7 linked regions of the Cricetulus griseus genome follow. The protein of the gene in region 2 interacts with the protein of the main gene of each other region in a biochemical or structural test. Links are inferred from orthologs where the notes say so. Each region holds a gene or a part of one and is shown on either strand. Other genes may lie near its edges.

Region 1 (3,932 bases), on a different chromosome or scaffold from region 2:
GTGTTTAGACATTAGAAAAGAGCTTTTAATCCTGGCAGTAGATTGCTTTTCAACTGTATAAATCATTTATGTATATTTGTTTTATCTTACTCTGGGCCTCTAGATATTTCCTGTTTACTCTGAATCTCCCAAGCTGCTACCAGAGAAGAAAATGATAAAAAATGGTTTATTAATAATTTTAACTGAACATGCAGAAAAAATAAAAAAAAATAATATAAAATTAGAATACAGTCAGGGGTGTCTTGGCATTTAGACAATCCACAAGCAACCCTTCAGAACAGTTATCAGGTCAACAGGTGACGTCCATAGAGGTTGACATTACAGATGCACAGAGCCCATTGTATGAGGAGATAGGCTCCTTTAGCAGAGTATCTGACTAAGAGCTAGTTCAAGGAGTAAGTCCTGAACTTCAGAACTGTCCCTGGAACATCCCTTCTGGAAGATATGAAGGCTGAAGGTACAGGAAGACTATGTATGGCTTCAACCCCGTAGAAGCTTGAAGCCTAGAGCAGGCATGAAGACAGGAGAGATGAATGGAGCAATTAAGTGTGCTAGAAAGGGTGTCAGGTATTTGGAAATACTTACAGAATGATCATTTCCTGTTCCAAAATGCAGAGGGATTTGCACACCTGGTTTATCTGTCATGACCTCCTTGCCTTGTAATTGGCTTATCTGTACTAAGTGCTCAGTAAATGCTACTTTCTTGTCTCCAACCTATTATCGGAATTATTATTTGCAAGTTAAATGTCACTGTTTTCTCTGTGCCCCAAATGCAATGTAGCCATCTGATTCATGCACCTGTTGCCATCTCGGGGTGTACCGTAAAATCATTAGCTAAGACAAAGTCATCTAACTCTATTTTTGGTTGATGTTTTGTATACCACGGTATCATGTAACTGATGTTCCTAATTCAAGGAGTAACTACAGAAACTTTTTAAAAATGTAATTTATCATTATTCCAACTTGTATCCTATTTTTCCTTGGTTAATAACATCTCACTTTGCAATGTCATCTTTTCTAATACCATATAAATCCAAGGATATTCCAGGACTCTTAAGTCTTGATTTATAGTTTACCCTAAGCTTCATCTTATGACATCATAACAATGTCCATTTAAAACACTGATAAATGCAATCAAGCCTACCTTCCCTCAGTTGACGCATATACTTTGCTATTCTGTTTTGTATTTACCTCTGGCTTACTTTTTCCTAACAACTGGCAAAGGTCTAGGAGTGACACTTTGGAGTTTTGATTGAGGCAATTAACCATTACTTTAACCTGATAATTAAATTAGTATAATATTATAACTAGCAAAGCTATTTGAATGCTTTTGAAGTCAAAATACACCAAACACCGTCATGTCACTACAAACATTATTTGAGTTTTACATATAAACTGTGCTTGCTGAGGAATAATATTTTTCTACTATATATCATATTGCATCTAAAATGATTAGAATATTCACATGGTGTATTCAAAGTCAATCAACTTTCTTCCTTGCCCACACCCTAAAGTCTGAATTTCTCTTAAGCAGAATATCGTGCAATTAATGAAAAGTTTTTAAAATTCCAAAATATATTTATTAGCCTGTAGTGCCAATAAAAAATAGAGTGAACCAGAGAGAGAGGAGAAGGGGGTGCAAATAGCCTCAGCTATGGAACTTTCAATAGCAGTCTCAGAAGCAAATGTCAAGCCAATATCACTGACCTGAGGAGATGTCAATTTGGCTTGTCTTGGTCTGTGTGGTGTTGATGTGGACGCCCACTTTGCTCTCCACAAGGTCAATCTCCACGTTGCCTAAGTTCTCTGCAAAGTGACTGAATAGCAGGAGACCACTGGGGTTCCAAGTCCTGAAATGGAAACTGACTGAGAACAGGTCCTGATTCGGTCTGCCAGGCACCTCCAGGTAGCTTGTAGCATTGAAGAAGACTGGTACTGTGTAGGGCTCCACGCAAGAGAAACTCAGATTCCCCTACAAACAAACAAGCATCTATGTGAGGCTACTGACAAAGAGGTGGTTCTACAAATATCCAGGGAGTGATGGAGGTTTTACCAAACATGACGGCTAGCATCCCAGCCTTATTTTGTGGGTGCATGGATCCTGATGGAACTTCCTGGAGTATTAGACCCAATACGAAATAGATGGACATCTAGTTCAAAGTGTAGCAAGCAATGCCAGTAAAGAGGCTGACAGTTTCTTAGCCTGCTATGATGGGGAGACCACAGGATGGTCTTCTGTTTTCATCTTATCATCATATTTTAAGGATCTTGATGACATTATTATCCCTGTGTCTCCCCTCCAATTATATATACATGTATGTGTACATGTATGTATAGTATTATATAATATATATGCAGGGTGTGGGTATGAGAAGGAAGGGAGTCTCTAGGGAGCTGAGTGAATTTCACTGAAACAACAACTAATAAGGTCCTGAGCAAATTTCTTATAAAATGTTAACTTTGTAGGGATGGTGGCAAAATGTTCTGTTTCATGATTTTTCTTAATGTTTTCAGTGTGTGTGCAGATTTTGATACAAAATTTATTCTGTGGTTGCCCACAAATAATGTGTTAAAACAGGATATATTTGTAGATGCCTTATACTTTATAAAATAGTTCAGCTATTCAAAGTCCTTTCTAGTTTCAACATGCTTTGTAGTTAACATTGCCTTAGTAATGAGCCCCTCCTATTTGGTGCTCTGTGTTTTGAGTACCAAATAGATATATCTGGGGCCAATATTGAACTAACATTTTACTTTTTAAAATACAAATAATAGGAATATAATTTGGATGCTTTGCATTCTACACCTTTTTTCTAAAGCACCAATTTCTGAGAACAATGAAAGGACCACTGTGATGTTATAACCAAAGCTTAAAAAGTGTGTGTGTGTGTGTGTGTGTGTGTGTGTGTGTGTGTGTGTGTGTGTGTGTCTGTGTGTGTCTGTGTGTGTCTGTGTGTCTGTGTTTGTCTGAGCACATAATAGATGGACTGTGTTTGTTAATGTGAGTGAATATTTGTGGGATATATGTTTGTGTGTTTGTATATAACTATAGTATGTTGCATATAAGCATGTGGAATATTGTTTTGTGCATGGAATATGGAGTATAGGTGCTTGTATGTAATAATTGCTATGTTAATGCATGCTCATATATGTATATATTATGTGCATGTCTTTATGAATTATTGTATGTGACGTATGTATGTGTGAATAATACATGGTATGTGTGTGCTACTATGTGGTCTATGTGTTTATTTGTGTGAATAGCATGTGGGGTATATAAATGCTTGTATAAACATTACATTGCACATATTGGTCAGCATTTATGCATAGTGTGTGGTGGTTTGAATAATGGCCCCATAGGCTCATATCATTGAATGGTTAGTCACCAAAGACTGATTGTTGGAAAGGATTAGAAAGATAGGCGTGGCCTTGTCAGGGGAAGTGTGTCACTGGGAATGGGCTTTGAAGTTTCAAAAGCCCATGCCAGGCTCAGGGTCTCTCTTTCCTTCTGCCTGTAGCTCTCTGATAATGCTTCAGAACCATGTTCACACTAAGCTGCCTGCCATGATATTTGACTGAAAATGTAAGCAGAGCTATAGGGAAGCTCCATGAAAAAAAAAGTTATTATCTTTGGGGCTACCCAACAGTACATAGAGATTCAGGCTGCTGAAACATCATCATTATTTGGTCTTCTTCAAGAAATCTGAAACAAGTCTCCATGGGATCTAGAAGAAACTCAACATGAGTTTTTGTGGCCCACCCTTTTATTTCACCAAAGAACAAAAATTAGTTTTATTGAACCTATTATTTATCTATTACTCTGATACTTCTTTTATATAACCTCACTATTCTTCTTTGACACTTCCATATATGTATCTAATTGATTGTGGTTACTCTTCCACCCTCTCCAGTCTCCCTCCTCCCCTGTCATC
Region 2 (3,932 bases):
GGGCCAAGTGCAATGGAGAAAGGATCTGCTGTGGACGTCCTGATGAGGCTGAGAGATGGGTCTCCCGCTCAGCAGTGCAGAGCAGTGCATGGCTGTGCAAGGGCAAGGGACAGGGACAGCTGGGTGCTATGAGTGGAGCAGCAGCGGCAGCAGCGGTGGTGGTGGTGGTGGTGGCGGCGGCGGTGGCAGCAGCAGCAGCAGCAGGGAAGGCAGAAAGCCCTTGGAAGTGGCCTGAGGTAATGCAGAGGGATCTGAGGAGCCCTGCAGCCAGCATACTGCTAGAGACATTACTACCAGCAGAAAACGACGTTCAGGTGAAGACCAGTGTGGAACCCAAGGAGAGGATGTCGAAGACCAGGACCAGGATTGAGACTTTGCCTCTAGCCACCCCTGGCCAGAAGATTTTTCCAATCCCTAGTAAGGAGGGATTAGTAGTTAAACAAAGATCAATCTGCGTTACACATCATCATATTTAGTTCTTTATAGGTCCAAGTTAACTGTTACGTAACTACAGTGTTTACCCTATGGTTGTACTCCTCCCTAGCCCCTAACCAAATCCTATTGTGATTTCCAAAGTTTTGAGTTCAAGAACCCCACTTGGTGCTATAATGGAAATGGATGAAGCTGTTGGCCATGGGTTAGACTCTTGGAGCCCAGAAATGGAGCCATCAGGGCCCAGGTCACACAGAATGAAATCTACTGATTTAGGGATATGCTATGAGAACAAGTCTCATGCAGTGACCCCTCAACAGGGCTTTTCCCTGTCTGGGACAGGTACATAAGTCTCCTTCTGCTGAAGCAGAGCCTGCTCAACCAGGGACATTTCTCCGTATCTAGTGTAAGTGATGAAAGATGTGGGATATAGATCCATCTTGGAAAGGGTACATTTGAGTCCTAAGAGTCCCCATCAGCCTGTTCTGCAACTTCCTCTGATGTCTATCAACTCCAAGTCCTTTTCCTCATGCTTTAAGCCCCACTTCTACTTGGCTTATGCTCAGACATGAAAAATTAGCTTGTCAGCATTTCTGTTCTGCTTGTGTATGCTAAGCATGTGCCCACCTTACTGCTGAGCTACAGTGATGTCAATCCCTATATGAAAGTCTTCAACTTTCTCAAGTTCTATTATCACTATTGCTTCCTACAGAACACTTGGTTACAAATCCCGAAACCAATCAACTTTGTATCTAGCTCCTTTTTGAGTCCCCTCCGAGGAAAGGAAATAGCAGAGGCTGAGAGCCACCTGGGCTCTTAATCCCTGCTTCACCTAACCCTGGGTGGAAGCACTCACAACTACTTTCATGAAAGCTATGGCTGTTTCACATCCAGACCTCAGGATCAGTCTCTTACAAATGATCAATGTAAGATATCGGCAGATGCTCTACTGGTCCAGCATGGGCTGTACCAGGAGATCAGAGGGGGGCTGCTATGATAACAAATTGCCAGAGCCTCATCCTGAGGTCGGGGAAGTGTAGGAATTCTGGCAGGCACAGACCCAAATGGGTACTTCACCGAGCTCCTTCCTGAGTATAAGCCGCAGAAGAGAACCATGTGCTTTTCAAATGCATGCTATGTGCGCTGAGTTCAGTGACTGGTCAGTTTGCACCCTAGACTGTTGACCCAGGCGGTCTGGAGAACTGAAATTTTCCTGTGGCTTAGAAAATGGTTTCCGTGACCCAAAACTTTCTGATGACATTTTGGATTTCAGAATCTGAGCTTATCAGCATGCAGGCAAGATGGAGTAGGTTCAGGGTGGCTTGGACATTACCTGAGGCTCCACGTCCAGTATTGCAATCAGCCCCTGCTCGTGGATTTTCCGAATGGTCTCCAGTTTTGTCCCGTACATTGCATCCTCGTGGCTGCCATACTCCAAGTACTCATTATTTGAGATGTCTTGCATCATTTGGTCATGAGATACAAAGTAATAATTCTTGCCATTTTCTTCATCTTTCTTTGGAGGTCTGGTTGTATCTGCAAAATTTCATTCATGAGAGGTTTAAATGGCTAGATTGATGAGTTACACTCCCAATGGAGTTACTGAACTCAATTACTCTGTGTGTGTGTGTGTGTGTGTGTGTGTGTGTGTGTGTGTGTGTGTGTGTGTGTGTGTGTGTGCTGAGACCTAGGCTTCTGTGTATATTAGGCAAGCTCCTCAATTGTTTTTTAAAAGCTGGTTAAACCAGGTATGATAGCACACAGCTGCAATTCCATCACTTGGGAGGTAGCAAACAGGAGGATTACAATTCCAAGGCCAGCTTTGGATACAAGACACCTTGTCTCAAAAGAAAAAAAAAAAGCCGTTGATTCTTTACATTGTCTCATAGCCTCTGTTTCCAATAATGTCACAGAAGCAATTTAAAAACCGTATTTATCTATGTACAGCAGCATATCAGATTTTTCCTTTGGCTTGTTTGTTGTTTGGTGAATATTTTAGTGTTGTGAGATGTATTTCACACTGCCCCAGGAGGAAAGACATGAAGTGGTGGTGATGCTTTTTGAATAAAAAATGGCCCTGATAGAGTCAGGTATTTGAACACTTGGTCCCCCGATGGTTTAAACTCCCACTGTTTAGGGAGTGTGAGCCTTGCTAGAGGAAATACGTCACTTGGGGCAGAATTTGAGATTCATAGCCTTGTCCAATTTCCAGTTTGCTCTCTCTGCTTTGTGTTTGAGGCTGGAAATGTGACCTATCAGCTTCTTGCTCCTGCTGCTATGTCTACCCTGCTATGAGGGACTCTCACCCCCTGGAACTGTAAGCCAAAACAGACTTTTTTTCTGTAAGCTATCACAACAACAGAAAAATAACTAATAGGGTGACCCAAGATGAACATAACTTACTAGCCCTTAGCTTACTTGGGTCCGTGCAGAAGGAAGAAAGGATAAAAGAATGGGTAACTACATGTGTCTATTTACATTTAAACGAATGGTAGTGACATAGTTCAGTTTCTTCATCTCACTAGCCATATTTCAATGACTGAAGAGACAGCGGACTATTCAATTGGACAGTTTAGATACTGAGACTTGTTCTAGATAGTGTTAGTCTATATAACTTCACAATGAGAATGTTTGTTGCATATAGCAAAAGGCACACCATACTGAAAACACAAAGGACTTAAAGGGGTGTGGCTGTGATTATCATAGAAGAACTAAACCAAAAGGCGAGGCAAGGAAGTGGTGAACTGCTTTATAGGTCAAATGGTCCTTCAGAGATTTTTTTTTTGAGACAAGGTTTTACTTTGTACCCTGGCTAGCCTGGTTTTTGGTATGTCACCATGGCTGGACTCAAACCTGTAACTTATCCTGGTTTCTCTGTGTTTCCTGGCTGCCACGAGGTAAGTATCTTTGCTCTGCTATAAGCTCTTGCCATCATGGTATTCCATCTCACCACAGACCCACAGCAATGGAGTAAGCCAGCTACCGACGGACTGACATCTCTGAACTGTGAGCCTACAATCACTTTGTTCCTTTTAAGTTGTTCCCCTCCCTCAGGTATTTGTCACATCAGCAAAAGGCCTACCACAATTGGACACACATACACTATCTCTGTCTTCCTTCCCTGTTGTCCTCCCTAATTGTTCTCTCGTCTCTCTCAACTTCCTCCTTCTGTGTTGCTTCCTTCCTTCCTTGAATAAAGACAAATTTATGCTACTCTGTGCTGAATACATGGGCCCACCAACTCAAAGAGGATGCTTTCTCTAGTTACATTGAAAGCTGAAGTTGGCATACCTAATCTTCAGTTATCTGAGGAAATATTACAGATTACTTCAGGTAATGTACAGTGCATGTAATGCACATCAGGGTCAAGTATTTAAGAGATCAGACATGGTTGATTTTATCAAAGGAAAGCTTTAAAAACTAAGCTACTTAGCTGCACCGTGGTGGCACACACCTTTAATCCCAGCACCTGGGAGACAGAGGCAGGCAGATCTCTGTGA
Region 3 (4,706 bases), on a different chromosome or scaffold from region 2:
TGTTTTAAAACAACTTTTTTCATAAATTTATAACATCTTCTAGTTAATGTACTATTTTCCGTGAAAGTCACAAAATACTTGAAATTTTCATGGTAAAATTGTCTTCTGTGTTAGAATACTTCCAATGACTTCCAAACTTTTCCTTCCTGTAAACACTTGCAAAAATATATTTTTATTAAGCTTGTTTTGGTTTTAGTGATATAACCTAGATAATTAAACTGATACTTAATATAATTCATAACCCAGACCCTAATATTGGAAACATGGCCTTCAGGTTTTTTTAGTCTTTTATACCCTAAAACTGATGGGATAGTACTCAGAAACTCAAACTCTAAGGCATCTATGGAGATCTGAGCATATGGATTTCCCCTAAATATCTAGTAAGTCCATATTAGATGAGACTATCCCTTACATTAATTTCTCAAATATATAATACACATACACATCACATAAAAAAAGGTTGATAGTCAAAAATTATAACCAACAGAAATAAACTCATTGTCTTACATAAAATGTAGAAAATAACCATAGCAGCTAGCATTTCCTCAGTAAGCCCAGGACATAACTACTCAGCAGATTAACCCACTATGTCATATGCACATTGACAGCCTCTAAGTTTTAAAAGTCAGGTCACACAGAAATGTGAAAGGACTTGCCCATTAAGCAATCCTGAAACCAGGCAATAGGAACCCAGAGCCCACTGTCCTCGACACTAGGCAGAAATGCCTAGTCCAATGGGAAAAAAAGGGTTTTCATCTTTGAAAAGGATAGTTCAGAAAGAAGTTTCTAATCACTGACTGGTACTGTAGCTGAATGTCAGAGCCTATAAATAGTAAGAACTTAACTCTTAAAAACACACCTATTCTTAAAGCAACTGATTATGAAATCGTTTGAAGGACAGAAATGAGTATGTGCTTAACAAATTTCACAGCCATTATAATATTTTTCCTTTCCAAATCAACCTAAGAGCATTTGGAAGGTACACTAAAATAAATGAGCTGTATAATAAGAGGGGAGATTTTTGAAACACTGATAAATGAACAATCTAAGTTTCTTAATACTTTAGTGGGGAAAATACACAAGAGACATTCTCATGAGAACGTGAGGCACTGACATGTAGGTTCCTCAAAATGATCTCATAAAAGTGTGCAGTTTATGACAATTAACACTCTGTTGCTGTGAGTAGTAGGAAAATAGATCCCGGCTGATAAGCTGAATTTATGGATGAAGTAACAAAAGCACTGTGAATACCAAAGGTAACTCCAAAGGGTAAAGACCTTGTCTCCCATCCACTGGGAGGAGCTCTCCCACAGAGGCACTTGTCCTCTTAGTCCTGAGCTCTAGACCCACCGGCGGCGGCAAAGGCAAGAAGACTGAAAGCTGAGCTTTGCCTCCTGCCCACACCACAGGGCACATTTACAATCTATGCAACACTCTGGTCCTTTAGTTTGCTAAAGTTTAGATTCCCTGAGGAGCTGTGAGTCAAGTGAGCTCCCATGAGAGAGCTGTTCTTTTCGTTCATCCACACTAGAGGAACAGAATAGCCGCGCCATAGAGCATGTCAAATACAAAGTGCTTAATTAGTCTTGCCTAGGTCTCCCAACTTAAAATCTAATTTTAAAATCCTTTTCTATTGAGGTTTTGGCTCATGCTGTGCAATGCAGGATAAGAGAACAATGTCCCAAGTGTCAGTTGGATATAGCTTCAGTAGCTAGAACCCCAGCTTCATATCCCATGGTTACTGCTTTCCTAAATTCTTTGCTTTTGATATTTCTGCTGCTTAAAGATAAATATTTTAACTGACTTGCTCACATTCTTAAAAAGTAATGTAACTATGGTTACATTACTTTTTGGTGAGCATGTCAGACTTAATATTACAATAGCAAAAAGTACTATATACTTCCTCAAAAAAATTCAGTCAGCAAATGTTTTCTGAACACCTACTACATACAGGTATGACACCTGCAGACAAGCTTCCTGGGGAAAAACAATGAACCAACCTTAAGGATTTTTAATTAAGAAAATCTTACAAATTTTTCAGGAAAAAAAATTAAGAAAACTGTTGCCCTGCAAATATTTAGGTGTTGCAAGTCTGATTCTCAGTTGCAAGTACATTTTGTTCTCCATCTAATCAGCTTCAATTTATTCTATAAAATCCACATTTCCTTTAAAACAATGAATGACAACACACCTTTAAAAACAAAACGAAAACAACAAAAAAATCTCTTCCTGTTTTCCCAAAGACTGCCCATATGCATTCCCTTCTTTGGCATGGGCACACCTGCAAAGATCCCCTGGCACCCTCTCACCTGAAAAAGAGTTTGGAGATAAAGCTGGCTTTCTCCAAAGGCGACTTCTGCATGATGTCTCCGTGGTGCACTGAGGTCTGTGTCTGGACACGTTCAGGTTGGACTCGACCTCTGAATATCCAGGACCCAGTCAATGTTTTTAGCGATTCCCCTTTTGTCGGACCTGCGGTGATGTCATTTGCTTCCAATTCCCCCCTAACCAACTGGGTCCCACACGCCTCCCCTTCTCTCTGCCTTCCTCCCCCGCCTCCGTAGCCCAGGTTAAAAGCCAGCACTGCCTAGCCCAGCCCCAGTCCCTGCTCTCCACGCCCCAAGCCCGCCCCGTGCGCTCCTTCCTCCTGCGCGCCTTGCATGCCGCCCGCGCCTCCTTCTCCTGGCGCTCACTCCCCGCGCCCTCCAGCGCCCCCCCCACATCCCTACCTTCTGGCAGCAGCAATATCAGTGACGGCTCAGGCACCAGGTCCGGGGAAACCAAGGCCAATCTGCGGGAGCTAATATGCTTCTTATGTGTGACCAAGGACCACTGACTGACCTCCTTGGCTTCCATGAGCCTTTCTTCTCCCTCTTCCCAGTCTTCTATTTCTCTCTCTCCTCCTTCTTCACTTTCTCCTCCATCTCTTTCTTCTCTTCCTCCTTTATCTCTTTCTTTTTCTTCTCTTTTTCCTTCTTCTCTTCCCCCTCCTCTGCTACCTTCATCTTCTCCTCTTTTTCCTCCTTTTCCTTCTCTCCCTCTTCCTCCTGTCTCTGTAGCTTTTGGCCGAGTTACAGTTAACTTTTCAAGATTCATTTTGAAGAGGAGATGAAAACGTGGCTCCTCGGAATCAAAGTACAGATGCAGAAAGGTGCAAAGTCCCACAGTAGTCCGAGGTGTCCCACCTCAGCAAGCCCTTCAAGAGCTGGACAAGACCTAGCTCTGTTGACTGAAGTCTCTAGGGTAGCCATAGAGTCACAGACATCTATGAGGTACATGAATGTCATAGGCATATGTCACAATTCCTTGATATGTCATAATTACAGCAAAAGCCCTACCAAGGAATGGGGAGCAACTGCTTCCCCTAGGAGGCATGTGTGTCAGACACATGTATCACAATGCCTCCGATGTGCCATAATTATAGACAAAGTCCTTGAGGACAAAGGGAGCTATTGCTTTACCTATTTCCCACTCAGGATGTGTTCAGTGTGTGTTGTAGTGTTTTGTGTTTCTGAAGGCTTTTATGTGTGTGTGCTACAGAAATGACAAGTGGACTGTCTAAACTAAATGACTGTCCTTTAGATTTCCTTGTCTGCTAAGCAAAATATCTGACAGGAACCCAAAGTCACTGAAGCAAAGGTATCCTATTCACCAAGAGCTCACTGAGAGAAATGCCTATGTCTTTAGCTCTCTGGGGGCTTTGAGAGTTTTCCAGGCTATGTGCCTTCCCCTTCCAAGCTTTTGGTGTGAGAATTTTGTGTCCAACATGAAAATGTGGTGGGTTTTAAAGGGCCAACACTTAAATACCTGAACCCTATTTAGCCAAAGCAAGTAAAATAGAGTTTGAATTATTTTTCCTTTTATTAAAAATAGAATTTTCTTTTTAGCCAAGCAGTGGCGGCACTGATCTCTGAGTTCGAGGTCAGCCTGGTCTCAGAGCAAGTTCCAGGACAATCATGGCTCAAGAAACCCAAAACCAAACAAACAAAAACAAAAACAAAACAAAAAAAGACAAGAAAATAGTTTTTTTTTTTTTTTTTTACCCCCAGACATTATATCCTGATTACTGTTTTCCCTCCATCTACTACTCCTACTTTCTCTCCACATGCCCTTCTCTCTGGATCCACTCCATTTCTGTCTCTTATTAGAAAACAACCATGCTTCCAAGGAATAGTAATAAAATATAATAAAACAAAAATTAATACATTGGAATTGGACAAAAACAAACAGAAAAGAACCCAAGAGAAGGAAGGCGCAAGAAACACGCCCAGGGATGCACTAGTCTAAAAGCCATAATTAATCTACATGCAGAGAACCTGGTGAGACCATGCAGGCCCTGTGCAAGCTGCCTCAGTCTCTGTGAGTTCATATGAGTTTTGCTCATGTTGATTTAGAGCACTTTGTTTTCATGGTGTCCTCCTTCCCCTCTGGCTCTTACACTCTTTCTGCCTCCTCTTCTGCAGGGTTTCCTGAGGCCTCAGGGGAGGGATCTGATGGATATCCCATTTAGGGCTGAGTGTTCCAAGGTTAGAGTCTGAGATTTTTAAAGAAACAAAATCAAAAATTAAAATGTTCTGGCCTGATTTTTGCCTCAGCATCTAAACACTGGGAGTGTTTACTTGTGAATTATCTGATTTTTGACTTGTGGACATCCAACTACAACACAAATAAAATATGTATTTCATAATACTGCTGAGACAAAAATG
Region 4 (3,932 bases), on a different chromosome or scaffold from region 2:
ATGGTGGTGGACCTAGACACTCACTGAGACCTTAAGATAGGACCTGGAGCCTGAGTTCCTTACCCTGTTCCTGTAGAACTAAAGTTCACCATGTTTTTTGACACAAGGGAAAAAAAATCTGACTTAAGCTAAATTAGAGTTTGCTTCATAACTGGGCAAAAGAAGCTCCACAAGAGAGAGTGTCATGTTAAAAACAGTATATTCATAAGGAAGTTAGGCCTACATGATAAGAATAGTAAGCAGGTCAACCGTAAGATGTTGCTAAAAAGCAAAGAGCCATTTACAGCAATAGAATGGAAGGGCTGTTTGCCCCTACATAATTTCAAGCGGACTATTCTGTGAAGTCAAAAGAAAGCAATATTCACAAGTACATGCTAACGCAACGCCAAGCAAGTGCACCTTGGTCTGAGCAGGCGTAATGCTCTGTGTCTTCAGTGTCATGGTTTCCACTTTGGGAACAGCACTAGTGAACGAGATCTTTGGAACTGGTCGGGATGTTGTCAGCTCTGGACTCTCTACGTCTTCATCAGCTCCTAGGAAAAAAGTGAAGATGAACTGAGCATGTGACTCACGACACATACATGTACATTATTAGGCCACGCAAGGCCAGAGCTGACTTTTTAATATTACTAGCTGTCTCCTTTAGCTTCAGAACATGTATACCTGTGCAGAAATAGCAGAATACATCTGAAATATATAGTATTTGGCATTTTTTAAAAAGGCCCATGCCTTTAATCCTAGCACTCAGGAGGCAGAGGCAGGCAGATCTCTGAGTTCAAGGCCAGCCTGGTCTACAGAGTGAGTTCCAGGACAGATTCCAAAGCTACAGAGAAACCATGTCTCAAAAAGGCCCCAGTCAACCCATTTCTGGATCTGGGAATTTACTACACCGAGTCCAGAATCTTCAAGGTGAAGTTGATAATTTTTCTCTCGAATGTGCACACAGAGTAACGTGTCACTGAACAATGGGGTTGCTGAGCAATGGTGTTGATTTCATTGTGGAAACATCACCGCGTCTGTGCTTTAACCAAGAGAAAAGGTTCAGTACACACTAGCTGCATGTGTAAATATATAATATCCCTGACACAGAAACACATCAAGCATGAGAAGGCTGGGATGTGGTCCAGTGGATTTAGCTGTAAGATCCTAGATTTGATTACTGGCAGATCCAAAAGGAACCAAGAAAAGAGAAAACAGTGTAATTAAGAGATTTGGTGAGTGTGAATATAGATGACCGCTGTTTGTGCAACCACAGACTGTTTTTATAATATACTTTAAAAAAAAACTTTTTTCTCTTTTTTTTTATTCAAATTAGAAACAGGCTTGTTTTACATGTCAATCTCAGTTCCCTCTCCCTCCCCTTCTCCCCGCCCCCTCACCAACCCCCCCATCCCCATCCCTTTCTGTTCCCCAGAGAGTGAGGGTGAGGCCTTCCATGGGGATCCCCAAAGTCTGTCACATCATTTGGAGCAGGGCCTAGACCCTCCCCAGGGTGTCTAGGCTGAGAGAGCATCCCTCTGTGTGGAGAGGGCTCCCAAAGTTCATCTGTGTACCAGGGGTAAACACTGATCCACCACCAGTGGCCCCATAGATTGTCCAGACCTCCAAACTGACCTCCTCCTTCAGGGAGTGTAATATACATTTTTATAAATAGGAGTACACTGTGAACTCATGATTACGGATATACTACAGTAAATACAAACTTGCTGTTTATTACCAAGGATTACTATAGCCAAGTAGATTGCTGCACTTGTATATGACTGGCATGTTTGTGTACACTCATGTCACCATGAACATGAGTAATGGGCTGAACTATAACATTATTATTTATATGGTGTCATCAGTTGATAGGAATTTTTCAGTTCCTGATATAACACTGGGGGATTATCATTGTATATTCAGTCTATCACTAGCCAAAATGTCATTATGGGGTGTGTGAAAATGTATCATTCACAGGTGTGATATATGCTTAGAGGCAAACTGTATGTGCAAAATATTATGAGTCATTAATAATGACGGCTCCAAAAATACATGGCACTTTCATACTGGCCTACCTAATTATCCATCCAAGTTTGACATTTGTTACTTGATTTGTTACTACAATGAGTCATTTTATTTTCAATGAATCATTTTCTTAATAAGAACAAAATCTCAATGAAGAATAATAAGTTTCAATTAAGGGCTTTCAAGACCCCACCCCATGTTCCAAAATGATTCTAAACATGAATCACCCAATTAGGAGTGGGGAGAAACTGAGGGGAAGAGATGTGTCAAGGAGAAGATGCCCTCAAGTGAGCACTTTAGAAGTTGGAGAAAGACGCAGATCCATTCCAGCCTCTGCTTATATTATCATAAATGAGACGACTGACTGTCTTGTACATCAGAAACCACAGTATTTCCTGCCATAACCTCTCTTCAGGCTCTGACCTTCCTGCCAGTCTCAGCCTCAAACAGCCTACACCGAGGCCCATCTACACTTCTCTTCACACACTATCATGCCAGCATCAGTGGCACCCTTCTCTGTTGTCTTTCCATCATGGAGCTGTTTCTAAGCTCCTAATACCCCTCTCCCGTGTGTGTGTGTGTGTGTGCGTGCGTGCGTGCGTGCGTGCGTGCGTGCGTGTGTGTGTGTGTGTGTGTGTGTGTGTGTGTGTGTGTAATAACAATGATTTCTACTTATGCTATACCCCGTATCCCAAGTTCACAGGTGGAAACATTGTCTCCAACACAATACTATTAAGAGGAAGGGACTTTAAGGAAGGGATTGAGTAATTATCACCTTATAAAAGAGGCCAGTGGGAAGTTGTTTGCTTATTCTATAAAAAATGCAGCAAGAAGGTATCGCTTTGAAGCAGAAAGCAAACACTAACACCTACCACATCTTCGGGTGCCTTTATCTTTGACTTCGTAGCCTACACAGCTGTGACCAACACATTTAACATATTTATGCTGTTTTTTTTTTTTTTAAGTTACCCACTGTGAAGCATTTTGTTACAGTACCCCAATGGACCAAGATGCTTTAAGACACGTCTTACAAATAAAATATTTTCATGGATGAAATGTGGAAACAGATAGATAAAGGGATAATGAATGGGAAGGGCCTCCCTAACACAGAAAACACTGTTATTTGTTTTTTCACTGAAATGTTTCTAGAATGAATGGTGTCTGTTCTCACATTAAGTGGGTAGTTAATAATGCCTGTTGGATGAATAACTATCTTCTGCAACTTCATTTTATAACAGTTTTTTCATTTCTAACAATGGAGTTCCACTTTCATGAACGTTTCTGTTTTATGGTATCCTAACACTGTTTCACCGCCAAACCCTCTTTTGCCTCTTGGAATTAGTTCTTCTGTTCATCTTCCTTCTGTGAACTCCTGTCCTCTCCTGATTTCGAGGCTTTCAGGTCATATCCAGCTCAAATGCTCTGGGTTTTGTGTCTAGAATTCATGGTGTCGTTACCAATAGAGACTTACCTTAAACTTCCAGGAACAACCAACAGCAATAGCCTATATTGTTTTGGAAGTCTCTGAGACTCCGCTGAACAGTACCATGCTTTACTTTCAATAATCAAGCCTGTGGTTCTAATCTGGGGTCAGAGTATGTCTCTTTGTTTATGATGGAGGGAAGGGTCTACTTGCTTCTTAAAGGGATTTTCAACTATTCACCCTGAGGCTAACACCACTCCCACCTTCCATTTATGTCATCATTTCCGGGCATGTGTGGCCTTGTGCTGTGCTGCTGTTTGTGTCTTGGTGCTTCCCAGTGTTGGCCAGTTCAATCTTCTCATGTCTGCTAACACTGGTACCATATGTCCCTGCGATTCTCACCTTTGTGGCTTGTGTCAGAGCTACTGTCATCTCACTTTTCTGGTCAGTTCTTGTCTGATTCTTTCAATATCACTTTATCTTTAACGTGGCAGGGCTTTTTGTT
Region 5 (4,360 bases), on a different chromosome or scaffold from region 2:
GAGTGGGATATAAGGCTGTCCGATATTCCTGCTCCAAGACCTTCATTCACCACACACCTTACTTCTCCCAGCACCAGGCCTTGGGCAGATCCTGACTGTTCTAGTTTGCCCCCTCTCCACTCCCCACACAGTACCCTCAGTTTGATTCTCTTCTGACATCAAAGACTACAGCAATGTGACAAACCTGACTCAGCCACTCCCTCCCACCGTTTCTGTGGTGAGCAGGGTTCCCAGAGCGAGGAGGGGCTATAGACCAGAGGGCAAACTAGGGGCCCCTTCCTGCACCTCCCCATGCAAGTGATTCCCAGGTGCTATTACTCCACCCCTGGGGACTAGCAAGATGGATCTGTGGGTAAGGACTCCTGCCTTGAAGTATCTGATGGCCTGAGTTTGGTCCCCATGAACCCAAATGGTGGAAAGAGAGAATAAATTGTTCCCTGACCTCCAGATGTGGTCCCCAATAAATGTTTTTTTTTTTAATTAAATTGCCCCCTTTCATCTTGGAAGTGTTGACAGAGTGCCTCTATTTGTCCTGGCACTGTGCTAGAAGCTGGGAGTCTCGGGGATGAGGCAAACTAAGTCCCTTCAACTTGACCTTGGAACCAAGGATTCAGGGACACGGAGATGGAAAACAGAAGTGAAGGGGCAGAGGCACCGGCAGGGACCGGAAGGCTAGAAGCCTCTACCACATCTAAGTCCGTTCTCCTCTGAGTACTCAGACTAGGGCAGAGCCATGCCAGAGGGTGGAGCCGGGCTGCTGAGAGGCTGACAATAGGGCAGGTCACAGACGCTGCTAGACGGGAGGGATCCAGCTTCTGCTGCAGTATTCCCAACCCTGCAGTTCTCACGGCTCGGAGAGGTGGGGGTACAGCTGGGCTGAAAAGCGGTCTCCCCAGCTGCCCAAGACCCAGGACACATGGCCATTAGAACAGGCACCCTAGTGCGCGCTAAGCAGACACCTCAGGCAGCAGCCATCCTTATCCACCAGAATTGGTCCCTCCCCCGGGATTCCCGCCTCCCCTTCCGATAGAAGAAGGGCACCAATTCTTGTTGGGATCAGACCACAGGTGGGGTAGAGTGGCCAAAGGGTCTGATCCATTACCAAACACCTGCAAATGAAAGCTCGCTCTGGTGGCTTCCCTGGCTACCTTTTAACCTCTCCTTCTATTTCTTCCTCAGGTTCTCAGCAAGGCTTTTCTCATAGCCCACATTATAGGGTCCTCCTGTTTTGAAATTCTTCTCTCCCCTAGGCCCCTTGCCATGCTGGTCCCAGCCCGAAATAACCCTGGTCTCCTCCCTTCCAGATAAGGAGATCCCAGACCAGGGGGGTGCTATAGGAAAGGGTCTCTTAAGTGGGAAGAGCCAGGAACAAGGGGAGTTCATGTGGGTGGGTGGGGGTGTCAAGCATGGAAGGAGTGAATCTGAAGACTCCCTGCCACACACCCCAACTGGAGGAAAAGATGGCCTGCAGAACGGGAATTCGTTTTCCCTCCCTCCCCACTTCTCTTTCCTTCTCAGCGTCACAGCAGCCGCCTGACTTCTTCACCTGACACCCGACCAGCCCACCTGGCCAGCATCAGATCCGGAGGGCATTGTGCGTCCTGCAGGAGTACCCTGGAAGAAGATGCCTCCGGCCAGGGCGCGCTCTCCCTGCTCGCAGGATTTGCTGGGCCCCTCCTCCCATCTCCCCACGCGGCTGGAGAGAAGCAAGTAGGCATTCTTCTAGAGGTGGACCAGAGTATAGGCTGGACTCATCTCAAGGAAAGACGCCAGCCGGCCCGCACTACCAAAACAGGGAGAGAGGAGAAAGAGGGAGCAACTCCAGCCTTAGTGTCTATCTCTAAAGCGATCTGTTCAGGGACCCTCTCAAGATGCCAGAGGCCCAAGCCGGCCACCTCACAGCCTGGGGCTTGAAACTGAAAACTTTTCAGTGTGCCCCTTCTCTTTCCTTCCCTATAGAATCAGAGATGCGTGGGGCGGTGCCCTTAGAGACACTCATACAGTTGGTTCTGGACGCTTACGCTCACTCAAACAACAGCAGTGAGAGGGAACTCCCAGCTTTTTCCACAGCTAATTATAGACGTCAAAGTCTGAGGATGTTTTGTAAGCCGCAGAGAGAAACTGCTGAGGTTTCTATGCAAAGCCAAAGAAATTTAATTTGTGCACTCCTGGTTCTCACCCTCCAACTTCTCCTAGCCTATCTCCACCTTATGCGCCCCCCCCCCCCCCGTGAGCTCCCTCCTTGGCGCTAAGGCCTTCCTTCCCGCTGAAGATTTATTTGGTCCTATTTTTCCCATCTCTCTTTGGGGCTTTCGAGAAAGGGAACAGACGCGGAAAATATTTTTTTTCCGCAACAGTTTTCCATTCTGCGGCTGGTTCCCAAGCCGAGGGGGAGGGGGAGAGCAGGAGCGGATGGGGGTCGGCTGGAATAAATACTTGTTCCGAGAGCTTAATTTGGGTGAGAAAAAGGCAGTCCCTCCATTTCCCCACCCATCCCATGATCCAGAGGAAAACGCAAAGGGATCACTTGTTTGATTAGATGGTTCTTCAGAACCCAGGGAAGAATACAGTGTTGAAGACATTCTCATTTTCTCCCCCCACCTCTGTCTCCTATTCCACCACCCCACCCTCCCAGAATTTGCTAGCATGAGGAAATTCGGATACTTTGAGAAGCTATTGAGAGGAAAGAAAGAAACAAAGTTTGCAAATCCCAGAGTCAATTCATTCTCTGCAAACCTACCTCTCTTTCTAGCAAAGATTCAGGTGTCTCCAAGCGGGACTCTCCCTCAGCGTTTCCATGGACCGAGTAGGGTGGGGTGACCACCCACCGCTCTCCCCAGTGTGGCAAACCACCTAGTGATGCTGGCTTTGCTCTCTGGCCACAGCTGGGGGAGTGGACTGAGTCTTCTTCCCCAGCCCTTCCACGCGAAGGACCTTCCTGGAAGAAAATGGGTGCAGGGAGCTGGGCGGGTGTCTGACCTCGCCGTCTTCGGAGGGATGGTCCCCCAGGAAGTTCGTACTCCCACCCCACCCCCAGCCTAGGACGGTCTCAACAGAAGAGCTGTCTTAAGAAAATGCTTGTCATGGCAACAGCTCCAGCCAACTCTGGCCAGACTGGGGCTCCCCAGCTCTCCCCCAGCAGGGCGGGAGGAGAAAGGGGCGGAGCGCGAGCCGGCGGGGGTGGGGTTTGGCGGGAGGCCAAAGCATTGCTCAGCTCTTAAGGTAGCCCGAGAGCAAGGCGCGGCGGAATGATGCTTCTTGGTCCGTCTTAAGGGGGAATGGGGAAGGGTAGGGGGAATCCTCTGCCCTCTTGGCTTTCTCCCAGCGCTGGTTCTTACTTGTTGAAAGGGGAGCAGAGCAGGCGTGGGTGTGGGTGGAGGTGGGAATGGATGTGGGCAGCGGTCTTCAACCGTTGCTGCGTGGAGGGGAAATAAAGGAAGTGTCTGCAAGCCATTCTGTTTCCTGCAGCTCCTCCAGGCCTCTCATTCTCATACTGATTTAGACTCAGGACCACGAAACCTCAGGAGGCTGTGGGCATCTGCCCTACTGACCCAGTCTGAACTGGGAGTTCACTGTCAAAGACGAGGCAATTGCTCAGGGTGCCCACACACATAGGTGCCTCCTCACCCTCAGACCCAGGTCACATCTTGCTCTCTCTTGCTTGTGTACCCAACCAAAGGCATGTCCACAGGGCATAGAATGGCTGCTCGCCTGTGTGTGGCTGAACACCCAAATCTTTGCATCTACAATATCGTTTTTAGCCCTGGTGGCAGTCTCAAAAAGGTACTCATTACTGTCCTGGTTTCATGGTTGAGGAAATTAAAGATTGAGCGACTTGCTCAAGGTTACCCATCTGGTTAATGACAGCCAGGATTCAGGGGCAAGTCAGATCAGACCCATTCCAGAGACTATGTGCTTCCCTATCCCTGTATCATACTATGTCACACATTTCCATCCTAGCGCGTACACACTGAGACATCCGTACACACTTAGACACAGCCTATAAACTGTTAATCACACCCCCGTGCCACACACCCACCAGCATTGTGCAACAGTGCCACCCATAGCTTTTGCATGGAACCTTATGGCTTTCAAGTACAAACATGCACCATCAGCTGGCTCACACAACACATCTTCATTGACGGATACATTCCCACACCTACCTCAGCAGACATACTCACTCATGTTTACATGCTTATGAAAGGCAGGCTAACACAACCTCACAGGTTATAGAGTACTGTATAGGGGAAGAAGGGGATTATTACGGTTCCCCAACCTATTAATAGAGCTTCAAAAATGCTCCAGTACCTAACCAGGCATGGTGAGTATACCTGTAATCCTAGCAAGCAGAAGGCTGAGA
Region 6 (4,729 bases), on a different chromosome or scaffold from region 2:
AGAACAGTTTGGGCTAAAATGAGACCATCCCAAACAAATCCCAAAACTGCGTAGAAGTCTTTCTCTTTAGGACTTTAGATTTGTTCCAGAATGAATAACAACTTTGAACCTGGCAGGTACCCAGATACTTGTTTCAATTTAGTAGTACAAAGTTGCGTCTTTTTGGTTATCTAGGGTCTTGTTTACTCTATTATGGCTTGCCAACCTTGAAGTTAGAATTTTTTGTTGGTTGGGTTTTTTTTTTTTTTTTAAACAGAACTGCTGTTTTTATTTATTTGCACTTCCCTATCTCACCTAGTAGATGCTTGTAGACATGTTGTTATTGTTGCTATTGTTGGTGGCTTTTTGAGACAAAGTCTTGCTTTGTAGCTCTGGCTGTACTGCAATTTACTATGTAGATCAGGCTGGCCTTTCACTCAACAGAGCTATCCACCTGCCTCTGCCTCCCTACTGCCAGGAATAAAAGCAGGTGCCACAAAGCCCAGCCCAGCAGGCACTCTTTACTGCTAAGCAATCTCTCCAGCCTGGTTTTTATTTTTGAAATGGGGTCTCTTTTAACTCTGGCTATTGTCAGACTTGCTACCTTGTCAAGGATATCCTTAAACTCTAATTCTCCCGCCTCTGTCTTTAACAAGTGCTGGATTTCAGGCAGAGACACTACGGGTTTGATTTTATCTCCTTCCCTCTGCCATCTTCTCCTCCTGTTTTTCCTTCTCGTCCTCCTCTTCTTCTAATTTTCATACAGGGTCTCCTGAAGCCCAGGCTGCCTACAACTCTCTAGGTACCTAAGACTGGCCTTGAACCCCCAATATTCCTGTATCTACCTCTTGGATGCTGGAATTACAGGCATGTGCTTTGGTGTGGGACAGCCCATTTTATAGGAAGATCCACAGTTTGAAGCCAGCCTCAGGTATGGAAGCCAGCCTTGGTCTAAGAAAACAAAAGCCAAGCAGAATGTAAGGCCCAGCAAAGGAGCTACTGACACATGGTATCCGTATAAAAGACATAACTCTAGTCATCCAGGGAACTGTGGGTCAGCTTTAAAATCTGAATGTTTTCTGTATCTCTATTAGGTTTCTTTTGGGAAGAATGTAACCAGGAGGACAATACTCTCCCAAACCTCTCCCCATACCTTCCCATATTAATGTGTTTTTCACTTACCAAGGGGCGGGGGTGGGGGGAGGGATTATGCAGCATTAAGCAACTTAAAAGTAAAGGGGGGGAGGCAGAGGCAGGTGGATCTCTGTGAGTTCAAGACCAGCCTGGTCTACAAGAGCTAGTTCCAGGACAGCCTCCAAAAGCCACAGAGAAACCCTGTCTTGAAGAAAAAAAAAAAAAAAAAAGTAAAGGGGGAAAAATCGACCAAGCAAATTCCTGCATTTTAGAGTCCTGTGACATTCCCCACCTCCTCCTTAGAGATAACTATCAAGAGCCCCGGGCCAGTCAGAAAGGCTCTAGCTGCAAACCCTGCTGCCAATCGGGATGCCCTTTACCTGTTGAGAAGGAGGCTTTGGCTTCCTTAAGCGACTGTCTTCTGGGCCAACCAGAGGTCTCTAGGAAAGAATGGCACCAATCGCCCTCAAGAGGGAGGAAAGTTCGGGCTGCACCTGCGTACGGTGAGTCAGTCGTCGGAGCTCCCTCTCTCTTCACCAATCAGAACTTGGGACAGCCGGGCGCCGCCCACCAGGCGTGGAGAGAAAGGCGGGCAGGGCTCAACCTGGCGGCTGGAGTCCAGTCCCAGCGCGTTGGATCGCGAAGCTCTTCCCAGCCCAGTGGCTCGCCCGTCGCGTGGGAATTGTAACTGTAATGGGCACCGAGGGGAAAGCCGGGAGGAAACTGTTGTTTCTCTTCACTTCCATGGTCCTTGGTGAGTTCTCGGAGTTTTTGGAGGATTTGGTGGGTCGGGTCAGAGGTTGGCGAAGGCGCACCCCACGCGCCAACGGGAAGGGAGGAGTCCAGAAACCTGCTTGCTCGCTTGCCTCGCCCTAGGAGTCCACTTTTACGCCCCGATCTGGTCACTCTACTTTCCCCTCCCCCACCTGGAGACTGCCTGGCTCCCCTCCCCCAAGCCGGTGATCTGTGACCCCACCTCCTACACTGTGGCGGGGAGCCTTAAAAATAACTGAGAGGGTCCACGGTTCTGCGTCTTCCCTTGAAGCCCAAGGACCCCTTCCACACCCAAGTCTTAAGCTACCCATTCCCCTCCATATGCACCTGAGAGGTCGTTCTCCCCTCCGACATCTCCGGGGACCCAGAGCCTCTCACCCGCACTCTCTTGGCTCAAGTGTCCTTGGAGGAAATGTAATGGAGGTGGGGGTAGGGAATGTTTCCTTTCCTGGCTTTTGCAGAAGGGGTCTCTAGCTCTTGTTACATTGTGGACCTTTTGGGATTAATGCCGGGGTTCAGCGTCTGAAGAAGAAATGAAATCTCTAAAAAATTTCTCAAATCATAGCATTGAGAATTCCTTTCTTGAATAAATAGCGAGGAGTCCTTTAATTAAGGTTGTTGACTGAGTGACGATTCCCTGGGGGAGACTGGGACTATTGGTTGGCTGGATCTCCTCAGAGCCAGAACTCTGCCCTCCCTCTTGCCCGGAATGAGTTTTTTTTGTTTCTTTGTAGACTCCCTTTCCTGAGAAACAACCAGGCTCGCATGCTGGGGCATGACTCTCTCGAGGTGTGTTTGTATGAGGCCGAGAGTGAGGTTGGTTGGTTTGTGCCTTGGTCATTGTGTGTCAGCACCTGTATATTTATCTGTCTGATTTTCCCCGCCACCACCCTTCAGAGCCGAGGACCAAAACCAGGGACTTGGGTGTACTATGTCTGGTTCTTGAGTGGCATACACAACTATTGGGTAGTTTTGTTGGACCGTGTTCTCTATGAATCTGTTTCAAGGGTAAAGGAGATGAAATATTACAGTATTGGTGTATTCTAAAGGCAGTTCGTTTTGGTGAATTTTGGGAAAAGCACCCAAGGTGGATAGATCATGCCTTTGTGTCGTTACAGAACTAAAAACTCTTGGGGTGGACTAGACAATAGGTGATCCCACTCCTCTCCATTGTACAGATAAGGAAATGAGTCTTGAGAGAGGAAATGACTTTTCCAGTTTACAAGGGGGTAGAAGCTGGGGATGGAACGAGTCCTCTGACTCCTGGAGATCCAGCCTCTCAGGCATGAGGCAGGCCCAAGAACTATATGAGCTACTGCTGTCTTATTTAAAAAAAGATCCTTCCATGGGTCTTCCTCTCTCACGTTTTCCTTCTACTTGTCCACGTCTGCATTCCTCCTCTTCCTTCCTTTGCCCAGCCATCACTTATTTCATTTTCGTTCATATCTTAGAAATGTTAGCCACGCCCATATTCCTGTTTTGTATACAGTTTCTTCTGGATCAGTGACAGCAGTTGTTAGGCTTATAACTTCCTGGAGTTGCTTCCTTCTAACCCCTTCCTTTTCTTTTCCCCTAATTTCCTGCATTGGTTCTACGGCATACTACTTCTGAATGGGTTGTGACAATGGCATTTTGAGCAAGCACCACTATTCAAGGGAGCCTGGGGTGCTGTTGCATATGCTTGCCCGGGCAGTGGCTCCTAGGGAATAGCGTTGGGGGTGGGGGAGTGGAGGAATGGACCCAGAAACTTTGAAATCATCAAGGTAGACCTGGGGGCGGGGAGTGCCTTGGTTAGTGCAAATGAGGTTAGAAATGGTAGCATGGGCCACCTCAGCAGGCATCCTGGCTTTGCCTTTTTTCTCTGTCTTGTGACCTTAAGCTAGTGGCTCAGTCTCTTCAGCTATAAAACAGGAGTAATAATACTGGTCCTGCATTTGCCTTGGGGATCAATGGAGATAATAGCTACATCACATAGACATGAAGGAATTACTGCTAGAACTATTACCCCTTTGGATTTTGTGAGGGTGCAAGAAGGCTGTCCCTACAAGAGTGGGTCAAAGGGAGCAGGGAAATTCCCATGGTGGGGCTTTATTTTAAAGTAGGAGCTCTCTGGGAGCCATCTGGTCTGAACCATAAACAGATTGCCACTGTCCTGTTCTTTTTTTTTTTTTTAGATTTTTATTTATTTATTATGTATACAACATTCTGCTTCCATGTATATCTGCACACCAGAAGAGGACACCAGATCTTATAATGGATGGTTGTGAGCCACCATGTGGTTGCTGGGAACCGAACTCAGGATCTCTGGAAGAGCAGTTGGTGCTTTTAACCTCTGAGCCATCTCTCCAGTCCTGTCCTGTTCTTCTTGAGTCATTGGTCATCATGGGCTCCGCTGTCAGGAGGGAGAAGAAAGGGCAAGTTAAGTATGAGCTAGGTGAGTGGAAGACAGCTCCAGCCTGAGGTACTTAGTGGGCAGGGATACACAGACATGCTGGGAGAGCTGAGCTTGGGGAATGTGAAATTGGTGAGCCAGAAATTGGTGCATTCCCTTTTCTCTAGAACCTGAACTTGGGGAAAATGGCATGGGCCAACTTTTATTGGATCCAGAAGGGAGGAAAGTAAGCCAGGGTTGGAATGCTGACCTTTGTTCTGCCTCCTCTTACCTGGGTGTAGAGATCCCATACTTCTAAGAGGGGTGGACGACTACCATGGCTTTGGTTAGAGCCCCGATGTTTCTGCTGGTGTTTCTGAAGAAGTTTCTTTTGAATATTTCCAAAGTGCTGTTCAGGGGGCAGACTTCCCTCGAAACTGTGGATCGGTGGATGAGTCATGCCCACTGCTT
Region 7 (3,932 bases), on a different chromosome or scaffold from region 2:
GTGGCGCTGCTGGACTGTAGTCCCGCCACAGCCTTAGCTGGCTTGGGTGCTGTGGGTGGCGGCGGAGGCTTGGGTGACACAGGCGGTGGCGTGCCATGAGCGCGCTTTACTTCTGCAGGGTAGAGAACAACCCATAGAATAAAAACAGCGTTCCCTCCATCTAGCAGGAGAGATGCTGTACTCGGCCCTATTCTCACCACAGCCGCTAGGGTATGCAATTCCCTAGCACGTCATGCTCCCTAAACTCCTTCAGATATGGCCTGATGTATCCAGCCACAATGGTTCTCTCAGCACCTTGGCACTGCTGTCCTCTCTGGACAGCTACCCTCTCTGTGTCAGGGAACTCCAGCTAGGTCTCCCTGCATCTGCGCCACTACTCTGGGTCTTCTGCACTGGACAAGAGGCATGTCCACTATAGGGTGGCAGAGTCGTCTCACAGAGGATAGATAGGGAGATCTGTAGACAGTCTTATCCCACACTACCTGGGCTTCATCAAACCCAGAAAGGGAAATCACACTATAAGACAGGGTAGCAGGCAAGGGATCTGTCCCGAGATCCTGTGTTCTTTCTTAGCTGGCTCTTTGTACCTACCTGGGCTGCCAGGGCCTGGCAGTGGCACCTTCTTGGAGGCAGGTGTAGGTGAGCCCTGGATCTTAGTCACAGGCTGAGCCAGAATGGGCTTGGGAGAGACAGGTGGCTTCACAGGCTTCCGGGCATTGCCATCAGGCAGGGGCAGTGGAGGCAGCTGCATGAGGTCAGCAGGTGGGGGCTCAGCGGGTGGAGGAGGAGGGGGCAGCTCTGGGGGCCCAGCCTGCTCTGAGGCTGGCCGTCGGCGAACCGTGGCTGTGCCATTCTGATACACAGACAGTGGTGGGTGTGGCTCAGGCCCAGTGTCACGATCTTTAGCCTTTGGCCTGCGCTTGACTGTGTCAGATTCCGTCAGGATGAACTTGACATTCTCCTGCTGGCTCTGTTTGGCCCGGATGCGCCTCTTGAGTGTGGCACTGGCCTCTACCCGGGCAAGGGGAGGGCCCTCCACAGCTGCCTCCCCCTTGGCTGGACCTCGAGGCCGTTGTCGGGCTGTGCTGTCCTCCATAAAATGACTCTGCTCAGCTGGTTCCCCAGGTCCCCGGCGAGCAGTGGCCAAAAGCCCCGTGACTGGGCCACTGAGTGTGCGGCGCCGGTTCACCACTTCCCCATCGGGCCCAATGGCCTCTTTGTGCTTCACAGAGGCCAACACAGTAGCTACCCGACCCGGTTCTGGACTGGCAGGCCGAGGGGTGGGGTGACCTTCAGGGGGCCTGCGGATAGCACGCCCCCCGCCCCCAATGGAAGACAGCTCCAACATGGCTGCAATGCTCTTCACGCTGCCAGCACTGCCTGTGTCCACACTGCCGGTCAGATCACTAGCCCGCCGGCGCTGTGCCCGGACCCCCAGCCGGCCATCCTCTGTCTCAGCATCTGGAGTCGGCTCATCAGCTAAGTTGGCACTGGCCATGGCTGAGCTGGAGCGCTTGGGTGGAGGTGGTGGGGGCCCCTTCTTACGTGGCCGCACAGCAAAGGACTGGCTGCGGTTAACATTCTTGTCAGTGCCAGCAGGAGCCCTCACTGAATGGCTCCTACCCACGCGCCGCTGGACTGTGGCATAGGGTCCAGCAGCAGCGGGCACCAGCAGCTCATCCCGCTCCGGCTCGCTGTCAGATGCTGCATAGCGGTTCAGGCTGTGGGCACGTTTCTTGGGTCGCCCAGGCTCCACATCAGCTTCTGGGGGCAGGCATAGTGTGGGGACAGCTGCTGGTACTGGTGGGAGTGCAGGTCCTGGAGCAGCTGGCCCTGCCTCACCCTCAACTGGTTGGGGCAGCACATAGGCAAAGCCACGGTGTGTGGGTGACTGAGGCAGGGAACGGGGCGACATGGGTCGGTCTGTTGGTGGCAGAAGCTGTGGGGTGGGCTTCACCTTGGCTGTGGCTGGACCGTGAGGTCCTCCAAGAGCCTGAGGGGAACCTGGCTGAGCTTTGGTGGGTGTCTGTGGGGGTGTGAAGTGGCTGGCCCCTGATGGAAGGACCTGCCGTGGCTTGCCAGGCACCGGAGGCACACTGGCCCTCTTGACACTGTGGCCATGGCGGCCAGACCGCACCTCCTTGGGTGGTGTGCCAGGGGCTGGTCCCTCATCCAGCAGGTATTCCTGACTTCGTGACATGGGGCTGCCAGGCCCTTGGGGGCCGTCACCCAGCAGCTCCTGAGAGCTGCTCATGTGCCGAGCCCGTCCACCCAGGCTGGACTCCTGTCGCAAGGTGGCCCTCGGAGTGGGTGGCAGGTGGTTGGAGGACTTCTCAGGAGCAGCTGCACCTGCTTCAGCTGGGCCAGACAGGGCAGCCTGCAGCTCACCACTGAGTTCACTGTCCTGGAAGGTGGTCATCTTAGGAGACTGGCAATCTGCTGCAGCAGGCTCAGGTGGGGGTGGTGACTCAATAGCCATCATTTCAAGTGATTGGGGTGCCTTTCGGCGCAGGGGTCCCCCCTCATACTTGGAATATTCTGCCTTTTGCAGCTCCGCCAGTTTCCTCACAGCCAGCATCAGCTTCTTCTGGTGTCCTGAGTTGGGGACGGGGAAGAGGCTGGTCAGGAGGACCTTTGGGTATAGGCAGATATGGAGGGGCAGGCTGGAACCTTACCCAGCTTGGTGATGCCAATCTCCTGAAGATCCTCCCAAGTGATATCAGTGATGAAATCAATGTTCTCATAGCCATTGTCCACCAGCACCTTGTAATACTGAGCCAGACCGATCATGGACAGCCACACAGCCAGGTTAGCCTATAGAGAGGGGGACAGAGAGGGGCAGCCCAAGCTGGCTGCTCACACCATGACCACCTACTTGGAACTATTAGAAGATGAGCCTGTGGGGCACAGACAGACAGAAGGACAAACAGACAGGCCTAAAATGTCAGTATTGCAGACAGTCTAGGCACAGCCTTGGTGGGAACTGAGGCCAGCTCCTGACAACCAAACACTAGGATACGCACAGGTTAACACATGCAAACATACTTGGGATTCCTATCATCTGGACAGTTTCAAGTATAATAAAGTACTTCTTTGCCTAATCAGATGGCCACAGGCATTGTCCTGAGGAGACGCACCCATACACCAGACACAGACACACACACAATGCCACATAAAATACATGTACACACACTGCACACCCTGCATGCTGCTTCCAGCTATACAAAACACAGGCACTCTCTGGATGACCCTCACAATGTTTCCCCACCCACAGCAGATGCATGATCACGCACATGTTACACATTCACCACACAGCCATACCAGGAATGTGCAAATATGCCGTATCCACCAAGAACTGCCCAATCGTCCCACGCTCCCAGCTGACACCACTCTTGCAGCCGCACTCAGCACCTTCAGTCATGCAGGTGACAGAGTGAGGTGAGGTCCATGAGACCCAGATGTGCTCCTGGGAGGATCCCTGAGCTGCTGACTGAATGGCAGGGTGGGGCAGATGAGTACAGCCCTGCCTGCCAGTAGATCCAGGGCCCTGAGGGGGCAGGCTCTGCATAGCCAGCATCGCCTCTCCCATGGACAGATGGGAGAGCAGAGCTGGTGTGCAACCCAAAGGGTCAGCATCAGCCCAGAAGCCCAAATATAGGCATCTCCTCATATGAGCAAAAGCCACTGTGTGCAGAAGCCACCAGAGGAGGGTTGTCAGCCATCAGCACAGGCCAGCATGTGCAGTGGGACCTGTGTGCATGCATGTGGCAAGCATGTTCGACACCAGCTCATCTGCAATCCACATGAGTGAAAGACAGTGCTATAGAGGTGCTTGCCACGAATAGAGAAGGCATACCCTCCTGACTTCAGGTTCCCCTCACAGCCCCTAGTCTTAGCCCATGAGCCTGCCTAGGGAGTTTGCCCCCATAATG

What was found.
Region 1: the proteins of Cask (region 2) and Cntnap2 form a complex in vitro, tested with the Homo sapiens proteins (2 studies listed by BioGRID and IntAct, with this or other methods). The link is inferred for Cricetulus griseus from reciprocal best matches to the Homo sapiens genes CASK and CNTNAP2.
Region 3: the proteins of Cask (region 2) and Cftr interact in a test that uses a peptide from one of them, tested with the Homo sapiens proteins (2 studies listed by IntAct, with this or other methods). The link is inferred for Cricetulus griseus from reciprocal best matches to the Homo sapiens genes CASK and CFTR.
Region 4: the proteins of Cask (region 2) and Sdc2 form a complex in vitro, tested with the Homo sapiens proteins (2 studies listed by BioGRID and IntAct, with this or other methods). The link is inferred for Cricetulus griseus from reciprocal best matches to the Homo sapiens genes CASK and SDC2.
Region 5: the proteins of Cask (region 2) and Atp2b4 form a complex in vitro, tested with the Homo sapiens proteins (2 studies listed by BioGRID and IntAct, with this or other methods). The link is inferred for Cricetulus griseus from reciprocal best matches to the Homo sapiens genes CASK and ATP2B4.
Region 6: the proteins of Cask (region 2) and F11r form a complex in vitro, tested with the Homo sapiens proteins (2 studies listed by BioGRID and IntAct, with this or other methods). The link is inferred for Cricetulus griseus from reciprocal best matches to the Homo sapiens genes CASK and F11R.
Region 7: the proteins of Cask (region 2) and Caskin1 interact in a biophysical measurement, tested with the Homo sapiens proteins (2 studies listed by IntAct, with this or other methods). The link is inferred for Cricetulus griseus from reciprocal best matches to the Homo sapiens genes CASK and CASKIN1.

The regions. Positions count from the first base shown.
Region 1 is NW_023276806.1:223,807,498-223,811,429, forward strand, and holds part of Cntnap2 (contactin-associated protein-like 2), read right to left. Parts: intron 1,973-3,932; coding exon 1,708-1,972; intron 1-1,707. UniProt on the Homo sapiens protein: Required for gap junction formation. Required, with CNTNAP1, for radial and longitudinal organization of myelinated axons.
Region 2 is NC_048604.1:119,094,206-119,098,137, forward strand, and holds part of Cask (peripheral plasma membrane protein CASK), read right to left. Parts: intron 1,969-3,932; coding exon 1,766-1,968; intron 1-1,765. UniProt on the Homo sapiens protein: Multidomain scaffolding Mg(2+)-independent protein kinase that catalyzes the phosphotransfer from ATP to proteins such as NRXN1, and plays a role in synaptic transmembrane protein anchoring and ion channel trafficking.
Region 3 is NW_023276806.1:208,423,392-208,428,097, forward strand, and holds the start of Cftr (cystic fibrosis transmembrane conductance regulator), read right to left. Parts: upstream 2,857-4,706; coding exon 2,514-2,856; intron 2,419-2,513; coding exon 2,310-2,418; intron 1-2,309. UniProt on the Homo sapiens protein: Epithelial ion channel that plays an important role in the regulation of epithelial ion and water transport and fluid homeostasis. Mediates the transport of chloride ions across the cell membrane.
Region 4 is NC_048603.1:17,529,136-17,533,067, forward strand, and holds part of Sdc2 (syndecan-2), read right to left. Parts: intron 534-3,932; coding exon 400-533; intron 1-399. UniProt on the Homo sapiens protein: Cell surface proteoglycan which regulates dendritic arbor morphogenesis.
Region 5 is NC_048598.1:55,393,793-55,398,152, reverse strand, and holds the start of Atp2b4 (plasma membrane calcium-transporting ATPase 4), read right to left. Parts: upstream 3,117-4,360; 5' UTR 2,741-3,116; intron 1-2,740. UniProt on the Homo sapiens protein: Calcium/calmodulin-regulated and magnesium-dependent enzyme that catalyzes the hydrolysis of ATP coupled with the transport of calcium out of the cell. By regulating sperm cell calcium homeostasis, may play a role in sperm motility.
Region 6 is NC_048598.1:21,463,477-21,468,205, reverse strand, and holds the start of F11r (junctional adhesion molecule A), read left to right. Parts: upstream 1-1,806; coding exon 1,807-1,867; intron 1,868-4,729. UniProt on the Homo sapiens protein: Seems to play a role in epithelial tight junction formation. Appears early in primordial forms of cell junctions and recruits PARD3.
Region 7 is NC_048600.1:44,087,484-44,091,415, reverse strand, and holds part of Caskin1 (caskin-1), read right to left. Parts: intron 2,815-3,932; coding exon 2,676-2,814; intron 2,596-2,675; coding exon 592-2,595; intron 113-591; coding exon 1-112.